2 linked regions of the Oryctolagus cuniculus genome follow. The protein of the gene in region 1 purifies or fractionates together with the protein of each later gene. This does not show direct contact. Links are inferred from orthologs where the notes say so. Each region holds a gene or a part of one and is shown on either strand. Other genes may lie near its edges. The genes, in order: PSTPIP1 and WAS.

What was found.
Region 2: the proteins of PSTPIP1 (region 1) and WAS purify together in Homo sapiens (affinity purification with western blotting; 3 studies listed by BioGRID and IntAct, with this or other methods). This does not show direct contact. The link is inferred for Oryctolagus cuniculus from reciprocal best matches to the Homo sapiens genes PSTPIP1 and WAS.

What each region holds. Positions count from the first base shown.
Region 1 is NC_091443.1:107,548,303-107,552,810, reverse strand, and holds the start of PSTPIP1 (proline-serine-threonine phosphatase-interacting protein 1), read right to left. Parts: upstream 2,824-4,508; 5' UTR 2,809-2,823; coding exon 2,593-2,808; intron 2,317-2,592; coding exon 2,216-2,316; intron 2,048-2,215; coding exon 1,973-2,047; intron 1-1,972. UniProt on the Homo sapiens protein: Involved in regulation of the actin cytoskeleton. May regulate WAS actin-bundling activity. Bridges the interaction between ABL1 and PTPN18 leading to ABL1 dephosphorylation.
Region 2 is NC_091453.1:33,878,850-33,881,702, reverse strand, and holds the end of WAS (actin nucleation-promoting factor WAS), read right to left. Parts: coding exon 2,576-2,853; intron 970-2,575; coding exon 942-969; coding exon of another isoform or gene 914-941; 3' UTR 675-913; downstream 1-674. UniProt on the Homo sapiens protein: Effector protein for Rho-type GTPases that regulates actin filament reorganization via its interaction with the Arp2/3 complex. Important for efficient actin polymerization. Possible regulator of lymphocyte and platelet function.

The sequences.
Region 1 (4,508 bases):
GCTGGACTCCTGCTCCACAAGGGGACCCTTGAATCTGTGTTTAACTCCTGGATTCCTCCCCCCGCCCCCAACACACACACCCCGGTCCAGGACACGGCACACAGTCGGCGCTGCGTAAGTGCTCGCGGACTCCATGGGCAAACAGTGCCTGCCTGGCCCACAGGTGAAGAACGGGAAGGGTACGTGGCCTCACAGCAGCACTTACAGAGCACCGACTGTGTGCAGTTAGCTGAGCTGGGGCCCCTGGGGGGGAGCTGCGGGGGGCTCAGCTCCCGCACTGTCAGTGGACCCTGGGCTTGCCCTCCTCCTATGGCAGGAGCACCCCCAGACCCTGCCTCCCCCAGAAGTGCCTCCCCCACCCTGCTCCGCCCTTGCACCTGCTCCTCTGGCCGCCCAGTGCAGATTTCCCCACACCTCTCCCCACCTGCCCTGAGGCCTTGGGGGCTGGGCTGAGGGGCCGCTCAGGTTCTGATGCTATGGCCGAGCCCCCGCACCTGGCACCCCCAGCCCAGGCTCCAGTCCCCTCCCTGCCTGGGTGCAGCCTCTGGATTAAAGCCCCACCCCCTACTCCCAGCCTCCAACTCCCTGTGCCACTTCCCCCAGTCCCAAAGCAAATGGCCAGGGTGCCCAGCCAGGCCCCCAGCCACACACCAGGAGGTGGGGTCTGTGAGCCGTGAGGACCCCATGCCTGCGAGGTGGGGTCTGTGACTGCCTGGAGCAGCCCGTCCCAGGCAGGGACCCAGATCTCGGAGAGGGTGTGACCACCCCAGGGCCACCCAGTAATGAGTCAGCGCAGACCCTGCCCCAGGCAAGCCCACGGCCTCCACACTTTAGAAACGGTCCTGAGCCCCTTTGCAGCTCCTGCCCCCACCCCCCGGGTCTCTGAGCGACCTCAAGCCTCCGTGCCACCGTCCCTGGTGACTCACGGCCCCCTGGGGAACTCTCCCGGGCCGCCTCCGCAGTCCCCCGCCTCCCCTCCCACGGGCCCACCCCCTTTTTCCAGGAAAGTCCATGTTCCCCAGCTGGCCTGGGAGGCACAGGCAGCAGGGATCCCACACACCCCTCCCCCAGCCAGGTCCCACAGGCCTTCCTGCCCCGCTCTGCACCCTAAGGGAGCCACAGGGCAGCCCGCTGAAGCGGGCAGATGAGCACCGACTCAGAGAGGTGGAGCGTCTTGCCCAGAGCCACACAGCACGGCCCCTCTGGGCACTGGACAGGAGTCTCCCCTGGCTCATGCAGCTTTAAATCTCCCACCAGCCCTTCCGTCTCTGTTCCGGCTCCTAGTGGGGCCCACCAGGGTCCCTGTCTCGAAACAGGGTCGTACGCTTGGGTCTGTCTCTTGGGCGTGGCCAGGCACGTCGCAGGCCTGACCACCAGGGAAGCAGGGGTGAGGGACGGGGTTGCTACGGCAGCTGCTGGCCCCTGGGCAGGGGGAGAAGTTGGGGCGCCCAGCTGGCCCTCGCCCAGGAGCACCTGCGCCTTCCAGGAGCAGCCCCAGGCCAGGACGACCCCTTCCCGCTGAGGTCAGCCGCTCCGGGCCCTGTCCCGCAGGCTGTGGGGGCCTCGGACCACAGGGAGGCCCAGCAGCTTCAGACAGCCCTGCCCCCACCCCGAGCCACACCCACATGGCCCCCGAGGAGGGGCTGCAGTATTGCTCCATCACAGTGTGCGTGGCCAGCCCAGGTCACACAGCAGGCGTGCGGAGAGCTGGCACGGGAGCCAGTGTGTCCCCAGCCCCGAGTCCTGGCCGCACATCCACCCTGGGAGCCCGGCCGAGCCCGTAGAGGGCTGGCGCCTGCCTCTCAGGACTGGGGCTGCACACGCAGGCGCCCAGGGATCAGGGCCCTCCAGCCTCCAGTCCCTTGGGGCTTCTTCCCTGCACACGGTGCTCCAAGGAGGGTCCCCTGCCCCAGGAGGCCCTGCGCCCGGTCTGAGGCCCAGGACGGCCAGCGAGGGCTGCGGGAGCGCTCACTTGATCTCCGTCTGTCCGCCGGCCTTCCGTGCGATCTGCACCAGCTCCTTGCCGTAACGCTCCTCCGCCTGGGCCCTGCAAAAGCCAAGCACGTGCCGTCGGGCCCCCAGGACGCCAGCCGCCAGCGCCCCACCCCTGGGGCCTGGAAACAACCGTGGGCCAAACCCAGGCAGCGGTGCAGGGCGGCCTCACCCTGGCTTCTGTGAAGCAGGGGTGTGGGGGCGCCTCGCTCCCCCCGCTCACCTCTGCCGCAGCAGCTCCTCCACGTCCTTGCACATCTTCCTGCCGTCCAGCAGCCGCTGCAGTAGCACCTCGTAGCCCGTGTGCGCCGTGAAGTCCCTGCACTGACACAGGGCAGGGCGGGGGCGCAGTGAGGCCCGGAAGGCCCCCCACTCTCCCCACATCGCCCCGCTGAGACGACCAGGTGGCATCAGGACCTAGAGAGGCTCAGGAGCACAGTGAGCGGGGCCGCTGTGCCTGGGGACACGGCCCGGCCCGGGAGACCTCAGCTCCACCTGCAAATCCACCCCCCCAGGGGGTGCCTGGCACGGCCCGGATGCCCCCCCCCCCAGCTCCATAGCCCTGTTGACTTGGCTGAGCCGCAGGGAAGCAGCCCTTACCTGGGGAGACCCAGCCTGGAAAAGCCAAGGCCCGACCTTGAAGCCAGGCCGGGGAGCTGGCACCAGCGGGCTGGCCCCTGGGCGGCTCACGTGAGCCTGACTGCATGTTGCGGCTCGTGCCAGCCCCCTGCGCCTGCCAGGTGAGGCGCGCACGCTGAGCGCCTGAGTCCATGTTCTCCGTGGGCGGGGTGGGGCAGGGCGGGCGTTTGGATGCATCGCGATGAGGAGGGAGCAGCTGTGGCCACCCAGCACCTGTGACAACCCAGCACCTGCAGGCAGCCTGGGGCTGATCTGCTGTTGCTGGAAACTGTCCCAGGCCTGGGCAGAGGGTCCTCCTAGCTCCCCTGGTGCAGCCCAGGCAGCCCGTCCCAGGGACCGGCCATGGATCCTGGACGCTGGCTGGGTGCCGGGCAGGGCAACTGTGGCACCTGTTGCCCATCTTACTGTGGCCGCCGGATCCCAACCCCATTCCCAAAGCGGGGCTCTCGCAACCCCACGCCCTTTCCTGCTTCACCGTCAAAACCTGGCGCTCCGGCCTCCACCCAGCACTGGCCCCTCGAATTACGGGCCTCTGGGGAGCAGGCCACAGAGCCAGAGTCCAGGGGAGCTTCCTGCAGGAGGCGGCACTGGGAGGCGCAGACGGGGACAGGGGAGCAGTCATGGTGCAGAGGGTCCCACCGGCCCCTCCGGCCAGGCCAGACCCACCCTCAGCAACTCAGGACCTCAAGCTCTTGTCCCCTCCGAAAGCATCCCCAGAAATTCCTGGGGGGGGGGGGCCTGGCTGGGGCTCAGCTGCCTGCAGGGCGACAAGAGGTTCCTGGGCCTGTCCTAGAGCCAGTGTCCACCCCCCACCCCGTCCAGGCTGGGCCGGCTTCCCTGGGCGGGCCACAGCCTCCCATGCTCAGCCCCTGCCCTGCCTCCGGCCCCCCGGGTCAGAGCCTGTGGCAGCCGGCGAGAAAGAGCCACAGACCTGCCTGCTCCCTCCCGCGAGGGCTCCTCCGGACCTGGGCATCCAGCTCAGAATCCCCCTGACCGGACAGCTGGGCAGCGTTGGTGCAGGGCCCCTCAGTCCTGGGGAAACTGAGGCCCAGAGAAGGGCAGGGGTGGCCCCAGCAAGATCTGCTCTTCCTGCTCCGAGTCCTCTCCCCTCCCGGCCACACCCGGCCCAGCCCTCCAGGGAGACCCCCAAAGTGGGAAGAAGCCAGAGCAAACCTACAGCGGCCATTCTGCTGGGGCCCTGCAGGCAGGCCCTGGGGTCCCCAGGAGCACGCAGCCTGCAGCCTGCAGGATCCTGGTGTGCAGCCGATGAGCCACGGTCACAAGTGACCAGGCTGTTCGGAGGAAGTGCCTGCCCACCCCCGGCCCCGCCCCGCACCTCCTCCACCACCCCCGCCCCTTACCCAGCCACCTCTGACTCTGCTCCGAGCTCAGTGCGCTGGGAGATTCTAGCCTGGCGATCGTGGGCAGGTGCACTGCACCTGGGCCCTGCCCCAGCCGCCACCCGGCACCCTCGGCCTCTGTCACGGGAACCCGGCTGTGACACCCATGGAGACACCCACTGCCCCCCCCCCCAGCACAGCGGCCGCAGAGCCAGGAGCAGAGGTGGTGACCAGGAGGAAGCTCTGGGCCGCTCTCTGGCCTGGTCCAGCACGTGGGAGACCCACAGCGGGTTCCCGGCCCGGGCGGGGAGTGCGCCCAGAGATGGGAGCCCTGGCTGGCTCTCTTTGTCCCTCTGCCTCTCAAACAAACAAGAGAGTAAAAAGAAAAGAAGTGGCTTCTGGAAATGATTCTTCAGACGCTCTCCGCCACGAAGCAAGGCCGTGACTCAGTTACCAGGGACGCACGGGGGCGGCTGTGGGCCGCATGAGGCCACGGGCTGAGCCACGCCACATCCGGGGTGTCAGGTGCCAGATGTG
Region 2 (2,853 bases), on another chromosome or scaffold:
AGAACTGAATTTTACAATTGAGAGGAGCATCCTGCCCAGCAGGTTCTTGCTGTATGAGTTGTGCACACAGAGAGTAGGGAGATTTGGTCATCAAGTGTGTTCTTGATCTAGTATTGTGCTCACTGAAAGCTTTTTTTTTTTTTAAATAATTAAGCACATGATCACCACACCTGGCCTCACACCAAGTTTGTCTCATCTCAGGGCCTTTGCACTGGCTATCCCAAAAGTTTAGACTGCTTTTTCTCCCAAATATTCTAATGGCCCATCCTCTGTTTTGTTAGGTTCAATACAACTGTCACCTCCTCCAAGTGTCACCTTCCCATTACCATCTGAATGGTGCACCACAGCACTCATCATGGTCTGTAACTCTGCTTGATTTCTATTTGGTTCTTTCTTTCTTGTCTGTTGCCCTAGGAGAGTGATTCCAACCCTATGAGGGCAGCAATTTATTTTTCTGTACTTCTTCCTCATTCCTTCATCCCTAGCCCCTGAAGTAGTGCCTGGAAATAAATATGGAAAGAAATACAGGCAAAATGGCTGAGGACGTAAAAGAACAAATCAATGAATATATCCATGTGAGGCTAAATAAATAAAATGAGATAGATCCACTAAAGGGACTTTGGGGAGAAAGGACCCCTAATTCCCACACTGGAAATGCAATCAAACACATTAGGGAAGACAAAAAGACAATGACTTTATTTTTTACTTAAAAATCCTTGAGTGAAGAGGACTGAGAATTTTTATATATATATAAAAAGGCCCTTGGTATTGGGAGGGTGATTGTGGGGACCAGGCAGGGAGAACAGCAGTCAAGGTAGGGTTCAGGGAAGAAATGGGATTTGGGGGTCTGGGGTGCAGAGTCGGGGCCGGGAGGCAGGGGCAGTAGAGAGCAGAGTAGGGAGTGGGCAGTGACTCAGTCGTCCCACTCGTCGTCTTCATCCTCATCGCCGGCCTGGTCCTCTCCTTCGTCTGAAAGGAGACAAGGATTCAGAGGGAGTTCAGCTTGGGGGGAAAATTCAAAGGCCCTGGAGAGCTGAGGGGGTATTCCTAAGGTCAAGTTAGGGTTTCTGGTTGGGACAAGATAGGCGTTATAGTCGGGAAGTCTGTTCTAGTTGGAGCTGAAATTAATATGGTATTGTTCAAAATATGGTTAGTCTGAGGCCTGGCATTTTAGTTTTGGGGTCTTCTGTTTGTCTGCTTACTACACTTGACCTTAGCCAAAAGGCCAAGAAGTGATTTTTTTTTTTAAGATGTATTTATTTATTTGAAAGGCAGAGAGAGAGCGAGCGAGCGAGCGAGAGCGAACTTCCATCTGCTGGTTCACTCTCCAGATGGCTGCAATGGCCAAAGCCAGGAGCCTGAGACTCCATCTAGGTCTCACACACAGGTGGCAGGGGCCCCAGCACTTGGGCCATCTTCCGTTCCTTTTCCAGGCCATTAATGGGGAGCTGGATCGGCAGTGGAGCAGCTGGGATACAAACCAGAATGATATAGGCTGCTAGTATCACAGGCAGCATATTTATCCATTACCCCACAACTCCGGCCACAGCTGCTCCACTTCTGATCCAGTGCCTGGGAAAGCAGCAGAAGATGGCCCAAGTGCTTGAGCCCCTGCCTCCCACCTGGGAGACCCCAGTGGACTTCCAGGCTCCTGGCTTTGGCCTGGCCCAGTCCCACCTATTGCAGCCATCTGGGGAGTGAACCAGTTGATGGAAGATTCTCTCTCTCTCACTCCCTCCCTCCCTGTAACTCCTTCTCTGTAATTCTGCCTTTCCAATAAAATTTTGAAAAATAACGCTTTAAGAAACATTTCCAAAAAACACGGTTAGTCGGGATATTGTCACACAACAGGTTAATGTTAACCCATTTGTCACTTAAAGGGGCAAGTGTAAATGCTGTTAGTGAAAGTGGGGTAATTTATTTTTGCTTAATGGTGGGTTAATGTTAATCTTTTTAACCCATAATGGAGTTTAATGATAATATTGCCAAATGATGAGGCTGGTTATAATGCTGTCATATAATGGAATCGCGTTAATCTTGTGGACACACTTTGGGGTTAATGTTATTGTCAAAGTTGGAGTTAATTGTATTATTGTCCGGTAATAGGTTAAAATTACTATTATCTTCATATAATGTGTGAAGGATAGTATTGTTGCCACAATAGGAGGTTAATATTAGCATTATTGTAGAAAGATGGAGTTAGCTACTATTATCATGGGTTCATATAAACTGTTGGTACAGGAAGTTAGTGTTAGTGTCGAAGATGGTGCTCTTTAAAATAGGATTGTCACATACTGATGTTAATAGGGCTGAATACAGGACAGCATTAATGCCATGGGCACACCCCTAATGATAATAATAGTTAATATTACATTAATACTATTGTCAAAGGTAAGAGTTATATTATGGTCATATACTGTCTAAATGTTACCACTAAGGAGACTGATCTAAGATTCTTCAATACTGTTACCCACAGACGTATATAATGTTTCTGTTGATGGGGACCGCCTGGGATGTTTGCAGGCCAAGGCTAGCCCTGGCAACCAGGTTCAGGGCCTGGGCCTGACAGGCTCACCGGAAGAGTGGATGGCCCTGCTTCTTTTCTGCATCACGTGCATCAGGGCGCCCACCAGCCCCTCGGAGGTCTGCGGTGGCGGCTGCAGGGCTGAGCTCTCTGGGGCCCCGGGAGTCTGCAGCAAGGAGAGTTTCAGTACTTCTTCCGCCCCTTCTTTGTAATTTTTCCTCCCACACGTCAATCCCTTTCAAGGCTCCCCACCCACCTCCCAAGCTTAGCACTAAACCCCAAGGCCTGGCACCCCCATCAGTCTCAGCCTCCGCCTCCCTGTATGCTGA